Sus scrofa: one gene and its partners. The protein of the gene in region 1 interacts with the protein of each later gene in a biochemical or structural test. Links are inferred from orthologs where the notes say so. Each region holds a gene or a part of one and is shown in the gene's direction. Other genes may lie near its edges.

The links. The genes of interacting proteins can lie anywhere in the genome.
Region 2: the proteins of OCRL (region 1) and RAB6A form a complex in vitro, tested with the Homo sapiens proteins (2 studies listed by BioGRID and IntAct, with this or other methods). The link is inferred for Sus scrofa from reciprocal best matches to the Homo sapiens genes OCRL and RAB6A.
Region 3: the proteins of OCRL (region 1) and RAB8A form a complex in vitro, tested with the Homo sapiens proteins (2 studies listed by BioGRID and IntAct, with this or other methods). The link is inferred for Sus scrofa from reciprocal best matches to the Homo sapiens genes OCRL and RAB8A.

Annotation. Positions count from the first base shown.
Region 1 is NC_010461.5:106,169,301-106,174,142, forward strand, and holds part of OCRL (inositol polyphosphate 5-phosphatase OCRL-1), read left to right. Parts: intron 1-1,768; coding exon 1,769-1,879; intron 1,880-2,528; coding exon 2,529-2,694; intron 2,695-2,952; coding exon 2,953-3,188; intron 3,189-4,842. UniProt on the Homo sapiens protein: Catalyzes the hydrolysis of the 5-position phosphate of phosphatidylinositol 4,5-bisphosphate (PtdIns(4,5)P2) and phosphatidylinositol-3,4,5-bisphosphate (PtdIns(3,4,5)P3), with the greatest catalytic activity towards PtdIns(4,5)P2.
Region 2 is NC_010451.4:8,195,710-8,200,825, reverse strand, and holds the start of RAB6A (ras-related protein Rab-6A), read left to right. Parts: upstream 1-1,613; 5' UTR 1,614-2,237; coding exon 2,238-2,307; intron 2,308-2,603; exon of another isoform or gene 2,604-3,040; coding exon of another isoform or gene 3,041-3,062; intron 3,063-5,116. UniProt on the Homo sapiens protein: The small GTPases Rab are key regulators of intracellular membrane trafficking, from the formation of transport vesicles to their fusion with membranes.
Region 3 is NC_010444.4:61,446,849-61,451,671, reverse strand, and holds the start of RAB8A (ras-related protein Rab-8A), read left to right. Parts: upstream 1-1,320; 5' UTR 1,321-1,345; coding exon 1,346-1,469; intron 1,470-4,823. UniProt on the Homo sapiens protein: The small GTPases Rab are key regulators of intracellular membrane trafficking, from the formation of transport vesicles to their fusion with membranes.

The DNA of each region.
Region 1 (4,842 bases):
AGTGGGTTAAGGATCCCGCATTGCCGAGAGCTGTGGTGTAGGTCGCAGATGCAGCTCGGATCTGGTGTTGCTGTGGCTCTGGCGTAGGCCAGTAGTAACAGCTCCAATTAGACCCTTTACCCTGGGAACCTCCATATGCCGTGGGTGCGGCCCTAAAAAGACCAAAAAAAAAAAGTTGTAAAATGTTGTAAAATTATTTAAAAAGTATAAAATTCTTCTTAACCTAACACTATACTAGAGACTCTGGTGACGCTAGTGATTGCTTTTGTTTCAGTTTTCTAAGTGTTATGGTTCGGATTTGTAAAAAGCTCCCCAGTCTTTGAGATATTTGGCTCAAAAATATTGTTATTTTCCATATTTGCTTTACAGCCTCTATTGCATACATCAGTCTTTTTTTAATTAAATTGGTGAAGTTTTCTATTCTAAGAAATGAAACTGGAATCTAAATAAGTAAAAATGCTATATTAATTATGTTCATTTGGTGCATCCGTTTGTATAAAGTTTGTTTGTTTTTTTATGGCTGCACCTGGGGCACATGGAAGTTCCCAGGCTAGGGGTCGAATAGGAGCTGCAGCTGCTGGCCTATGCCATAGCCACAGCCACAGCGGATCTGAGCCGCATCTGTGACCTATGCCGCAGCTTGCAGCAATGCTGGATCCTTAACCCACTGATCGAGGCCAGGGATCAAACCCACATCCTCATGGATACTAGTTGGGTTCTTAACCCACTGAGCCACAAGGGGAACTCCTGTGTAAAGTTTTAATAGTTAAAAAAACATAGCTGTATCAGGAAGCTGAAAGTGCTGTGTCAGATGGGAGGGTGTTTTTGATTAGTCAAGATGATTTGTTTGTCTGTTGTCATCCTTTTAGTCTAATCTGGGACATTTTTTATCAGCCATTTTCTAAAATGGCCATAGGGTCTATTTACTAACACACCTTTCATGTAATCTGAGCATTGATATTGTGATTCTTAGCATTGTGCATAACAGCTAATAGACTTAAATGCTGTTGTCATTTTTCTGCTGTTTTAGCACTTTATGGTCATTGTCAGAAATAGTAATAGGTATGTTTTGTCACTGTCAATATGTACGGAGCAGGAAGTAATTTTTAGCACAACCGTCACATTTTCTCCACCTCCAGATAACAATGGAGCAAGAAAATATTCTTCCCAAATAGTTATTATTGCCAAGCTTCTTTGCACAGAGGTTTAATTTTTCTAAGAAGTTAATCATTTAACCTTACCTTTACTTAAAGTTTGTGATCCTTTAATGCTTGGTTTTTTGTTTTTGTTTTTGTTTTTTGTCTTTTTGCTATTTCTTGGGCCGCTCCAGAGGCATATGGAAGTTCCCAGGCTAGGGGTTGTATTGGAGCTGGAGCCACCGGCCTATGCCAGAGCCACAGCAACGCAGGATCCAAGCTGCGTCTGCAACCTTTACCACAGCTCACAGCAACGCTGGATCCTTAACCACTGCGCCACAACAAGAACTCCTTAGTTTTAATTTATGTTTGTTTTAGTGACTTTTTAAAGACGATTAGATTCTTAGAGATATATGAGTTGAGAGCACATAAGACTAAACTAAGGACCTGTTTGTTTTTTCAGGTAAAAGTTGTGGGTGAAGCAGGATTTCAGAAAGTAATTGAGGAGATTGTTTGTACCACAGTTGATTTGAAATGATTGCTGTAATGACCAGTTTTAAACTGTTAGGTAATCTCAAAGGAAGATGAGCTAGGAGCATGTAAGACTGAAAAGAGGGTTCTTTTTCTTTCAGGTGAAGGTTGTGGATAAACGGAGATACCGGAAAGTGTTTGAAGATTCTGTACGCATCATGGACAGAATGGAAAATGACTTCCTTCCTTCATTAGAACTCAGCCGGAGGGAGGTGAGCAAACATACATGGCCACCCATCTGCTGCCCATCGTGGTTAGCACAAGGGAAATTATGTTTCTTACTAGGAACAGGCAGCACAGGAAAGTTGTGAAGGCTGTGTGACCTGAGGGCATACTGCCTCCATTCCAGCCCCAGCACTGCCATCTGGTAGAGGTGTGACCCTCGGCGAGTGTCTTACACTCTCAGAGCCACAGTTTCTTTTCTGGATAAAGGGGCGGTTGTGAGGATTACACAAGTTAATATGTGCAGGGCCCTTAAAACAGCGCCTGGCACGAAGTGAGCCCTCAGGTGGTAGCCACTCTTATCTAATATTTCGGAGTCGCTGGCTAATTCATATCTCAGGGACCAGACTTGGTCACGGGATGAATGCCCTGACCCAAAGTCGGGTTACCCTCTTCGGATCCCAGGACCAATCAGAGTAGCCTAGAGAGGTAGCAAGAGCTGCCTAGCTGCCCCTCTGTGTCGTGAGTATAATAATACAAGAGCAGGATGGTGGACAGCTGGCTCATTTGGTGACTGTGTCTGGCAGTTGCACACCTGGTTAATTACCCTATTCTTTATTCATATTCTCTATGGAATAATCCAACTGACGTTCTTCCCCTACTAGTGATGCATGTTTGTGTCTGTCTGTTATTCCCCAGTTTGTGTTTGAGAATGTGAAGTTTCGGCAACTACAAAAGGAGAAGTTCCAGATCAGCAACAATGGACAGGTTCCCTGCCATTTTTCTTTCATCCCTAAGCTTAATGACACCCAGTACTGCAAGCCATGGCTTCGGGCTGAACCTTTTGAGGGCTACTTGGAGCCAAGTGAGTTTCCCCTTTACCATCGTCTCTGCTTGCGATGTACCATCTCCTCGTGACTCCCACCCCCTCCCTTTGTTTAACTTCTTGTATTCTAACCACACGTCTCTTACCTTCACTGTCATTATATTGGGGCTCCCTCTTTCACGTGTCCCCTTGCTCCTTCATCACTTGATTTTTTTAGAAGACACTTCTTCTATTGGTTCTCATGCCCTGCTTTTCCACTGAAAGTTTCTGTTACCACACATCATGTTTACATTGCAGATGAGACTGTGGACATTTCCCTTGATGTGTATGTCAGCAAAGACTCTGTGACCATCCTGAACTCAGGGGAAGATAAGATTGAAGATATTCTTGTCCTTCACTTGGACCGAGGCAAAGATTACTTCTTGACCATCAGTGGAAATTACCTCCCAAGCTGTTTTGGTACATCCTTAGAGGCTTTGTGCCGAATGAAAAGACCAATCCGAGAAGTTCCTGTTACCAAACTCATAGACTTGGTAAGAGGCATCCTAAGACATGAATCTCCTTTAAGTAGAGCTTTCACAGTACTTAAGTCATGTTCTCCTTTTCTCTGTGCTTTCTCATTGGACGGGTCTGGCGGTGCGGTGGGTGGGGGGGTGCGGATGGCAAGTGATAAGTAAGAATGTCCCTTTACTCCAGCACGCCTTTCATTGGATTAAGCCTAACAGGAAAGAGGAGAAGCTAATCTGTAATTAGTTCCTGTCAGGAATGTAATAGATCATGCGAAGTTCACTGAATTAGATTAAAGCGTCCCTTTTCAAAGATAGAATGCTTACTTGTTACAGGCCTCCTCCTTTCAAGTCATTTTTGTATAAATTAGCATGTATGTGAGGTCCAGTAAGTGGGGCGGGATGGTATTATCCTCGTTAAACATGTGAGAAAACTGAGGCATAGAAACAATAACTTGCCCGGAGTGGAATAAGTTAGCGACAGATCTGTCGCCCAGATTTTCTGACTCCAGTCCAGAGCTCCTCACTATATCATCATATATAATCCAAGACAAACTCAGCTGCTTGTTGGGGCCCAGATCATACATGTGAACCTCAGAGAACCTGTTTCAGAATCCACCCCCCACCTCGCCCCCCGCGAGGTCCTTACGCAGGTACAGGCCCCTCCCCTCACTCACCTGGCCACGAAATCAATGCCTTAGGGTGTGACGCCTAGGGATCTGCATTTTATCAGCATCCCAGGTACAGTATGGTGCCCCGAAGTTTGATACAAGTTCAGTGTGACTCATTTAAGAAAGGAAAGGAGGGGGACCTCCCTTCCCCAATGCCAAGCTATCCTCGTGATGTCCTTATGGAGGAAGTGCCTATTATCTTCAGAAACATAAACTGCCTTAGTAACAAATTCATCCTGTTAAGAACCTTTCTTTTAAGTGAAAATATTGTTGGAGTTGTGTGTAGACCTCTTTGGGCTATGAAAGTGTATTCTTGATCTTTTACCAAAGGAAATTAGATGGCCTGACAGCCATATGTTATCATTCCCGTTAGTATTCACATTGATTTTTTTCAGCCTAGCCAGAGCAGTGATTGTATCATCTAGCGGGGAGGGCTGGACCCGCCAGCAGGCTGCTGGCTGGTCAGAGCGGGATCTGTTCTGTTGCCATGGAATTGTTTCAGTGATGACTCAGACGGCCGATTAAAACCCTTGAGTTCAGTCCCAGCATTCTTTCTTGGAATTACGCTTGTTTCCCTAGAGCCCTGGTGAGTGAGTGTATTACCCTTGGTTGAGAGAGCCGTTTCCTTCAGAAATTGATATCCTGACATTGTTATTTTCCGTGATACTTATTTTTCTTCTACCGTGATATTCCTATCTTTTAAATGTATTATTTACCTTTTAGAATATGTTCTAAAAAGAAATTGTTTTCTTTTTCCTACCCACATCCCTCCATCCCAAACACCATTTGCCAGCTTTCTTTTTCCTTTTATTATGAAAATGGCAAATGTGTAGAAGAATCGAAAGACCAGTGCAGTGGACACCCACATGCCTTACACCCACATACACAGACATGCACTTGTTTTTTGCTATACCATTTATTTTATTTTATTTTATTTTATTTATTTTTTTTGTCTTTGTCTCTCTTTAGGGCCACACCCACGGCGTATGGAAGTTCCAAGGCTAGGGATC
Region 2 (5,116 bases), on another chromosome or scaffold:
TAATTATCATGATAGTTATATCCATATTACACTTAACTGTCATGTCTTTGTGGGCTCCTCTTGAGTGTGACATTAACCTTCATTCTTGGGGTCATGAACTGGGTTGAAAAATCTGATGAAAAGTATGGATTCTGTCCACAGAAAAATACACATATTGTAGACGTGTAATTTAAGGTAGTTCCACCAATAGCAGATTCAAAAGGGATTTGAATCCTTTAGGAGGACTGGGTGATCTTTAAAATGTCCACTTCAGGAGGGAGTTCTCACTGTGGCTCAACAGTAACAAACCTGACTAGTACCCATGAGGACTTGGGTTCAATCCCTGGCCTCACTCAGTGGGGTAAGTATCTGACGTTGGCATGAGCTGTGGTGTAGGCTGCAGACTCAACTTGGATCCCGTGTTGCTGTGGCTGTGGCGCAGGCCAGCTGCTGTAGCTCTTGATTTGATCCTTAGCCTGGTAACCTCCACATGCCACGGGTATGGCGCTAAAAAGCCAAAAAAAACAAAAACAAAAACAAAAAACAAAAAAAACCCCAATAAATAAATACAATATCTACTTCAGGAATTCCTGCTGTGACTTAGTGGGTTAAGTACCCTGCCTTGCCTCTGTGAGGATTCGGGTTTGATCTCTGGCCTTGCTCAATGGGTTACGGATCCTACAAAGTGGAAACCTCCAGGGTAGATCTCAGAAGCAACTAGGATCTGGTGTGGCTGAAGCTGTGGCATGGGCCTGAATTTACAGCTCCAATTCGACCCCTAGCCCAGGAACTTCCATACGCCACAGGTGTGGCTGTTAAAAAAAAAAAAAGCCCACTTCATCAGGGGCATGCTCTACCACGAATTTGTTGTGTGACCTTTTTGCAAACTTGTTTTCCTACCTGAGCCTCAGTTTTACCCTATGTTTACATGATATCTAAATCCTTTTCGATCACAGTAGAAGGTGGGCTCACCTGGGCTGGCCCATCTGAGGAAGAGAGGTTGCTAACAGAAGGCCAAGCCACATCAGGCCAAGGATGGTCTTATCAACTAGCAGGTTGCAGAAGTTCAATGGGGGAAAAAGACAAAACCTGGCTTCAATTTTACTGTTCTGTGGGTTTTGTAAGTCATTTCCTTCCTACGAGCTTCAGTTTCCTCATCTGTAAAAACGTGGAGGCCCTGCTTCTGGTAGTTATGAAACTCCTGGGAGCAGGAGTGGAGAATGTACCTAGGAGGGTATCATGGCAGGAATTATAAGAAGAGGTTGGAGAAGGTGGGGGCATAGGTGAAGTGGGGCTCGCAGGAATCTGAGGCAGGGCTAAAGGCTCAGAACTAGGAACCTTCTAAACACCTTAGTACTCTCTGACTTCATCCGCTCTTGTAGGGGTCAATTCCACCTCCACGCCGGCCCCGCCTCCACCCCGCTTCTCTCTGTTCTCCTCCCCTCAGGCTCGGACGCGCCACACTACACATGGCCGCCACTGTGAGACACTTTCCACCGCTCGAGGGCAGCGAGCGCGCTCTCGCGCCGCCACCTCATTCCCATCCTTGCCCGCCCTTGACCTCTTCCGATTGGCTCATCGTATAAGTGACGAAAGCGCTCCTTACTCCACCCTTTGGGTTCCTCCAGGCTCCACCCCACCTCCCCGCTTCTCCCGACGCGAGCGTACACCTAACCACCCCCGGTCTCCGCTGCCGCGGAGCCGGGAAAGCAGGCTAAACCAGGAAGACGCCGTCTGTGGCGCGCACGCGCACGCACGCACGCACGCACGCTGGGGCTGGCGGGGCGGCAGGCTCGTGCCCGGGCTCGCCCCGCGCCGCGCCACAGGCTCGCGCACTCAGCAGGTTGGGCTGCGGCGGCGGCAGCTGAGGCGCTGAAGCGCTGCGTGTGAGAGGTCCCAGGCGCGTCTGCGGCTCCGGCTCCTCCGCCCTCACCCCAGCCTCCGAGCCGGGTGCTGAGAAGGGAGCCGCTCTGGCCTTCGGACCCCTGAGCACTCCCCTGGCTGCTTCCGACACCGCCTTCGTTCCCTTCCCAGCCTCGGGCCTCGCTCGGTGCTAGGCGGCTCTGAGGGGAGGCGGCGGCGACGGCTGCCTGTCTGTGTCGAGGGGCCCTGCCCTCCGGTCTTGCTCCGCTCCGGGCCCTGCAGCGGCCGAGAGAGCTGGGCGCCCGCCCATTCTCTAGCCTCTCCGTCCACTGCTTGGAGCCGCGTCGGTCCGGGAGGTCTTTGGGCTGAGGCGGCGCAGCTCCTCCGGCTCCATCATGTCCGCGGGCGGAGACTTCGGGAATCCGCTGAGGAAATTCAAGCTGGTGTTCCTGGGGGAGCAGAGCGGTGAGTGCGCGGCTCCCCCACTCCTGGCAGCTGGCCGCGGCTTCCCCGCACCGCCCCCAGTGCGGCCCTTCGGCCGCGGAGGCTGCTGCGGCCCTCGCGTTCGCCCTCCGCCCCCTGCCCCGGCCCCGCGTCGGCCGCCCCCTCGTCGCCCCCCGTGCTTCCTCGCCGCGATCCGTCGGGCGGATTTTGCCCCTTCTGGCCCCGACTCCGCCGGCTCCTCTCCCCGCAGCCCGGCCCTCCCCTGTCGACGTGCCCTCCCCAGTCCTCACCCCGCCCAGCCTCCTGTCCATCCCTTTCTTCCTCCGGTCTCCGTCGTCTCGCCAGCTCCCGCTCCCTTCCTTGAGCCCCACCCTTGTTCCTCGCTCTGATCCCGGTCGGTCAGCCCTGCGAGGCCCACCGGCGGGACCCGGCTCTTTGGAACCTCGCGCCGGGAGGGGGGATCTGGGCGTTGTTTTCCCCAGAGGCTTGGCCCTGAGAAGTGCAGATCTTCTGGAAGGTGGAAAGTGGGGAGTCCTAGAAAATTCTTGGATTGTTTTCACCTGGGTGGGGGGTTGGCCTGGGTTCCAGAGGGTCCACGTCGGCCTTGGAGGCGACTTGAGGATGGAGTGGTGGGGGAGTGAGGGAGGGGCGGCGGCAGTGGCGATTTTTACCCGATGGGCTAGGCTGCGGCTTGTTGGAAAACCTCGTTTTCTTCTCCTGACTTTCATCCTTGACGATCCTTTTGGCCGCGTGGATGCTTTTCCAGTCTCTGCCAGGTGCTATGTCATGATCGTTTTACTTGGAATTTTTCACATCTCACCTCTCCTTTTTCTGTTTTAACACGAAGCGGGGTCTGATTCTCCTCACAGTGGAGCAAACAGGAATTACTGGGGAAATGCTAATTATTCCATTTCTTTTTGAGTATTTTCCAATGATAGATTGAGGATTCCTGTGAGAGAAGGCTTTAGGATAACGAACATCTTTGTTTTGTAGGATTTCCTTTGGGGTCAGGGAGTAAGAGAGAGAGAAGAGATGGGTTTTTCATCTGGTTATCTAAGTTAGATAAATACATGATACCATTTTGGCGAAATGCTTCTTTTATGGTTAATATTCCACTGTATCTGATGAGTAAAATCATTTGTTTACCTGACCATGCTTCTGCCGTCATTGTACTTTGTGTTAGATAAAGGTCCTTACTTTGTGTTAGATAAAGGTCCTTATTTTGTGATGGCTGCTGTCTCTAAAATTACTTCTTGTGGTAATTCCAATTTTATGCTGTGTTATACACACTTCATACTCTGCAGTTTAGAGGTGATCACCCTTCATTGTTTTTCTCTCACTTTTCCTGGCTGTCTTTAAAATTGAGACAGTGAGAGATTAGTTCTTACGAAGTCATTAGACATTGTTATCTGTTAGGTGTTTTAGGTTAGGCTATAGAAGACATTTATTTCTTTTGATTGGGAAGAAGATAACTGATGTTAATTCAAGGCTTTTGTTACTACTTTGAACTATTTACACTAATTTGTGTGACATTAAAGTAGGTTAATAATAGTTGCAAAATTGCTTCCAATTAGACCTGAGAAATCATTTTTCTCCTTTCATACATAATTTTTTTCTCCTTGTTGTCTTACCAAGTTTCCTCTTTGTTTATTTTTTCTGAATTTGTTTCTTTAAGTAACTTGAGACCTGTGAGGTTGATCCTTGTCCAGGTATTATAACAATTTTAGGGCAGTGCCATTCATAAAATATAGCTATTGGTCATTATTGATAGGATAAGTGCTTATTGTGCACTCTAGGGATGTTTTTGCCTGCCTGATGTTGTGATGCAGAGATATTTAGTTTGCATGAAAAATCTCCATCCTAGGAAAATTTTAGTATGAATAGTCATAACTTAAGTATCTGCAGGTTTCCTTTGAATTTCTTGGGTATTTACTTCTAATTCTCATTGCAGAGTTTTATAGCTTCTCATTTCTTAACTTCTTTAAGTCTTTACTAAATCCCCTTCCTGCCAATTCCTGAAGCCATCTTAGATTTTTTTAAAAGTAAACTCAATTTTGTTAGAACAGTTTTAGATTTACATAAAAATTAAGATAATGCAGAGAGTTCACATAGAGTCCCACCCAATTTCCCTTATTATTAACATCTTTCATTAGTATGGCACATTTGTTACAATTAATGGACCAATATTGATGCATTATTAAGTAAAGTCTCTAATTTATTCAGATTTTCTTCATTTTTATCTGTTTCTGTTCCAACATTCAGTTCAGGATACCACATTACTTTATGGTTGTCTTTCTCCTTAAGCTCCTCTAAGTTTTTTTAAAATTGTGTTTGCATGCTTTTTAACTCGGTGGAACTGTGAGGTTAATTATCTTTGAGGCTGCTATATTGCTAAGTAATGTCATCCAGTAGCTTCGACAATGAAAGATTGATCTCTTTTCACAGGCAGTGTCTGTAGTGTTCTTATGCATTAGCAAAGGTCTGTAGAATCCATGTCATCTAGATGTAACTCTTCATGAATTTTTTATTTTTAGGTTTTGGAATTCCACAATTCAGCTTTCAAGACCAATCTGTGGCAAAGCTTTGTCTTCTTAATAGCATTTACCACATTTATAATTCTTATTTTTTTGTGTTTTTTTTTTTTGTGTGTGTGTGTGTTTTTGCCTACTTCGCACAGCAGAATGCAAATCCCATGTGATTTAAAAACTATTATTTTTTTGTTCATTGTATCCCTGGTGCCTAGGATAGTGCCAAGCTTGGAGCTGTACTCAGAATGAATGATGGTTGAATCTAATAGTAACCAAAGCTAGTAGTCATCTTTGCTCTGGTG
Region 3 (4,823 bases), on another chromosome or scaffold:
GGTGGTCATTGCCTCTGGTTGGTTGAAGCTTTTCCTAACCAGAGCCAGATTAGCCAAAGAATGTGAAGTGGGACAGTGAGGAGAGGCAGCAGTCATCTTTTGTCAAGATCCTTGGGAAGCCTCCAGGCCTGATAGCCCAGAGTGACACATGGCGGTGAGTCCACCCAAGTGATGTGGCTCATCCCTACCACGCAGAAAACTATCTGATCAAGACCTTAGCCTCTGAAGCTGTTCGGTTTGAGTTCAAAAACCAATTTATCTGGTTAAGAGCCTGGGAAAGTCATTTAACCTCTCAGTCTTGTTTTCTCACCGTAAAACTTGGTGGGGGGAAGCGTGAACACACACAATAATACCTACCTCGGTGGGTTGGGGTGTGGACAAAATATTTTATAAATTTTTTTATAAGTGCTGACAACACTGGCAGGCACAGAACCAAAAGCTCTTTAGTATTCCCTCTAATTCTCACTATCCGAACTCTCTCGGCGGGTTCCAAGGCTCCAGGGTGCAACTCAGACGGCTGACTGGGTCGCGGCGGGAGAGGCTCTGGGACAAGTCCTGGGCAACCTCTAAATAGATCCAAGGGAGCATCCTGAGGAGTCCTGCGGACCTCGGGGCGCAGCTTGTGGCTGAGGCCTGGGTGTCTCTAGGAAGATCCGCTGGCCAGCGTCAAGGCCCCGGAGCAAGTCTCGAGGGGGCCTCGTTTCGACTATGACGGTACTTCTGCTCTCCTATCTCTTCGGCTCCGCCCGGTCTGACACGGAAGCCTGCAGACCGCACCACCACCGCCACGCCACATTCCCGCGCTGGACCCGACGCTAATTGAACTTGCTCCGGCCTGGAACAGCAAGAGCCAGAGAACACCCCCACCACCCGCGTGCGCCCTCTGCTGGCACACTACGGCCTTCCCGGCGCGCTTGCGCACGCTCCCCAGACCCCGCCCCAGCTTGAGGGCGCGCGGAGCCGTTGGCCCAGCTGCCCGCCCTCCCCCTCCCATCGGGGGGCGTGGCCGCCCTAGAGTCAGAGGAAGAAGGCGGGGACACAGAGATGCCATGCCCCAGCCTTGTCCCCATTTGAAGCCCCTCGACTCCTCACCACTGGCCAATCGCAGTCCGCCCTGTCCTGAGCGCCGGCCAATGAGCGGCGCCCTCAGGCCGCTTCCGGCTCTGCGCCCTGCTCGCCCCTTCCCCACGTCTTCCTGAGACGGGCGGGGCGCGGGGGCGGGCGTCGGCCGCGGTGACGCGCGGCGGGCCAGGAGCCAATGGGGGGCGGGATCGGCGCTGATGGACTGGGCCAGGGGCCAGTGGCGAGGCGCTGGCCGCACTTCCCGTCGGGGAGAGAGTGTAATATGGCGAAGACCTACGATTACCTGTTCAAGCTGCTGCTGATCGGGGACTCGGGGGTGGGGAAGACCTGTGTCCTGTTCCGCTTCTCCGAGGACGCCTTCAACTCCACTTTCATCTCCACCATAGGTAGTGGGGCCGGGAGCGCGGAAGGCCCAGGCCGGGCTCTCACCCTGAGGGCTGGGACTGAGGGAGCTGCTGAGCGGGATGGACCCGAGATCTGAGAGGGTCGAGAAGGCCGGAGCGGGAAGGAGCAGTAGCCTGCACCGCCCTTTGGGGGTTCCTGGGCCATGGGGCGGGGGTGAGGGTCAGGTACCCAATTTGCAGATGGGAATACTGAGGCCCCAATCCTCAGCCTACTTGTCAGGGAGTGTATGTCCTGGACAGAGTCTTGGCGCCCTGTCATCTTGTTCTTGCATCGGCCCTCGAAGCAGTCTTTGGGGTCTTTGACTTATAAACGTAGAAATGTGGAGTTGTCCATGGGGAAAGGACAGTGACAGGTGACATCTAACTTTATTGAGCTTTTATTGTGTGTCAGGTGCTTTACGTGCATGATCACACTTCCTGGTCCTCTGTGTCAAGTGCTGTTATGAGTTACTTTCACAGAAGAGGCATTTGAGGCTCAGGGAGACTGTACTTGCCCAAGGTCACACAGTCTACTGGTGGCAAGGATGGTATTTGTACCCAGGTGTGTTTGACCCCCCAAACTCAAGGCTCAACCGTCCCAGAGAGATGTGAGCACTCACTCCCCAGGACAAGCATAGCTGATCCATGTCTAAGCCAGGACTCCAACCCAGACCTCTCCTGCTCTTTTATAATGGAATATTCAGGGGTTGAGCCCCCTCCCTGATCCTATTTCCCCTAGAGATGAATTTCTTCTGGAAAGAATGATGAGAGGGAGTCCAGAGACTTTCCTTGCCCAGCTTTCCATCCCACTAGAGGGTAACAGAAATGGCAAGTGACAGCTGTCTGCCCTGGGACCTGTCATCCTGAGGAGATGCCAGATAAAAGCTTCAGCTTAGAAACCAAAATCAGCCACTGCCACAGACAGCCCCAACTTCCCTATCACTAGGGCCAGGACACCAGTTGTCACTTTGCAAAACAGCCTTGCCCACAGGGCCAGCCCACACTGTGGTTGAACAGAACTGACCTGTTGCTTCTCAGTTCTGACATCCACAAAAAGTGGGAGCTGACTTCTCACCAGAAAAAAGGCCATTGCCTGCATGAAAAGGTTTGACTGGGAAGTAACACCCATCAGGCAGAGTGGCCTCTAAGCTCTGCAGCCCTGCTCTGGATGGGGAAGCAGAAGAATGGTCACCAAGCCCAGGGGTTAGAAAAAAACTAGGGAGTAGGTGTTGCTTTACCCCAGTGTATGTTATCTCCCTGAACCCCACAGTGAGCTGCTAATTCCATCCTTGCCAGCCTCCAAGAGCTGCACTTTGCAAGATACTTAGGTGCCAGATGTAAAGAGAATTGGACTAGAACTCATCATGCCTGTTTCCCAGCTGCTGTTCGTCCTTTAACAAGCACTTTGCCTCTCTGAGCCGTAGGACTAGTGTTCTTTGCCTTGGCCAGTACCCTGGATGGTTGAGGATCAGAACTGTATAATGATAAGGGGGTTGTCACCACTGCCAGAGGAAGGAAGCAGAATGTCTCTTATAATGACAGTATTCTTCCCTGGGCACAGATGTTTCTGATTCCTCCCCTTCCCTAACTCCAAGGTCAAATTTTGGGGTAACCCTTCCATCCCCACCTATCAGGAAGTGATATCAACTCCTGGTAGACTGCAGCTCACCCTCAACCCAGACTTCAGTTTCCCAGAGTCAGAACCTTCCTAGTGAGATCAATTCGGAGGTTGAATTTTTTTGTTGGGTTTTAAATTCTTGACCACAAAAGCAAGGCTAGCCCTTTAGGGCTCTGAGAAGGCCGGCCTCCATTTCCAGATGAGGATGTAATTTGGGCAAGGTCATCTAAGGAGGTGGATGTGACACATGAACCCAGAATCCCTCTCTCCTACCCTGATATTCTCATTATATTTGTAAACTTCCTGCAGGCCTCTGTCTTCTAGGAAAGTTTAATTCCCTTTGACCTTGAAGTTATGGCCTCATAACTCTTGGGCCTCATAAAGTTTACACTTCCTAATTAAATTTGGTGTGTTAATAAACCCCAGGAGGAGGGTAGGACAGAGTGATGCTTTGGGCTCTGTTCATTGAACAGAGCTTTTGACTTTGTATGTCCCTATGCCATCTGTCACAGGAGTGGGGATGTTTTAGGAAGAGTTAACACTGCGCAGCTTAGTCCTGAAATACAACCTAATGCATAGAGGCTATTCTCTATCGGCACTGAGCGTACCTCTGAATTTTCTTTATAGATCAGAGATTAAGTGACTCTTCATTTTGTGCCCAGGTTATGTTTTGCCAAAGACTGTTCTCAAGAGCTCCATCGATCATTTGTGGTGTGAACTTGGCCCGGTGGCTCCTAGAGTCAGCTCTCCCTAGCCTGGCTCAGCCCCCATCTCCTCCTCTGGGCCTTGTTCATTCATTCCTTCAGGGAGACAGATGATGTACTTGAAAGTGCTTAGTAAATGGTGCAGCACCACATAGATCCCATCGCTCTTTATTCTTGCATCCAACCATCTTTCCACAGTGCCCACTGCGTGCCAGGCACCCGCCTCAGTACAGGGGTTGCAGGAATGACTTGGATGAATCGGGGGAAGCAGAACTCTAACAGGGCCTGTAGTTAGGATGTGTGTGCCAGTCTGGGTGATCAGCTTCTAGCAAATACATACACAGCACCTGCCTGCTTAGTCACTGAAGATGCAACCATGACTAAGACGTGTGAGCCTCTACCCTCCTGGAGCTTAAGTTCTAGTGGGCAGAATTTAAATGCAGACTTAAATTCCCTGTGATCCCTAGGACAGCTTCTGAGCTGAACAGAGATGGAATTAGCATCCCCATCCTGGGTTCTAAGGGGTCAAGCCAGGACTTAATCTCAAGGCTTCATAGGCGGAGATTTAGAACACCCCCCACCACCACCGGCCCCAGGGGCAAAGGCTGGATATGGCTGTTCCGGCTGTTCCCCCTCCACACAGGTCATTCAAATTTTGCTTCTAGGTTCATGGAACACATAAACACATAGAGGGAGGAATAGGGCATGAAGAAGGAGAAGCAAGCAAAGAGAGAGAGAGGATGGTTAGAAAGGCTGCCCTGAGGAGGTGACTTGAACAGATACCTGAGAGAAGGAGAGGGGGGAGCCAAGTGGCGATGGAATGAAAGAAAATTTCAGGAGGGGAGAGAGCAAGGGTCAAAGGCCTGAGGCTGGAACATGCTTAGGCAGCGTGGCCAGAAAGGAGGGCAAGAGCCATAGATGCTGAGCAGTTGAGGCAGAACCTTGGAGCACTCAGGCAGCTGTTTTCCCTTTACTCTGGGGCCAGGGCGGTGCTGGGAAGCCACAGGAATGTGTTTGGGGGAGCTTTTTGACCCT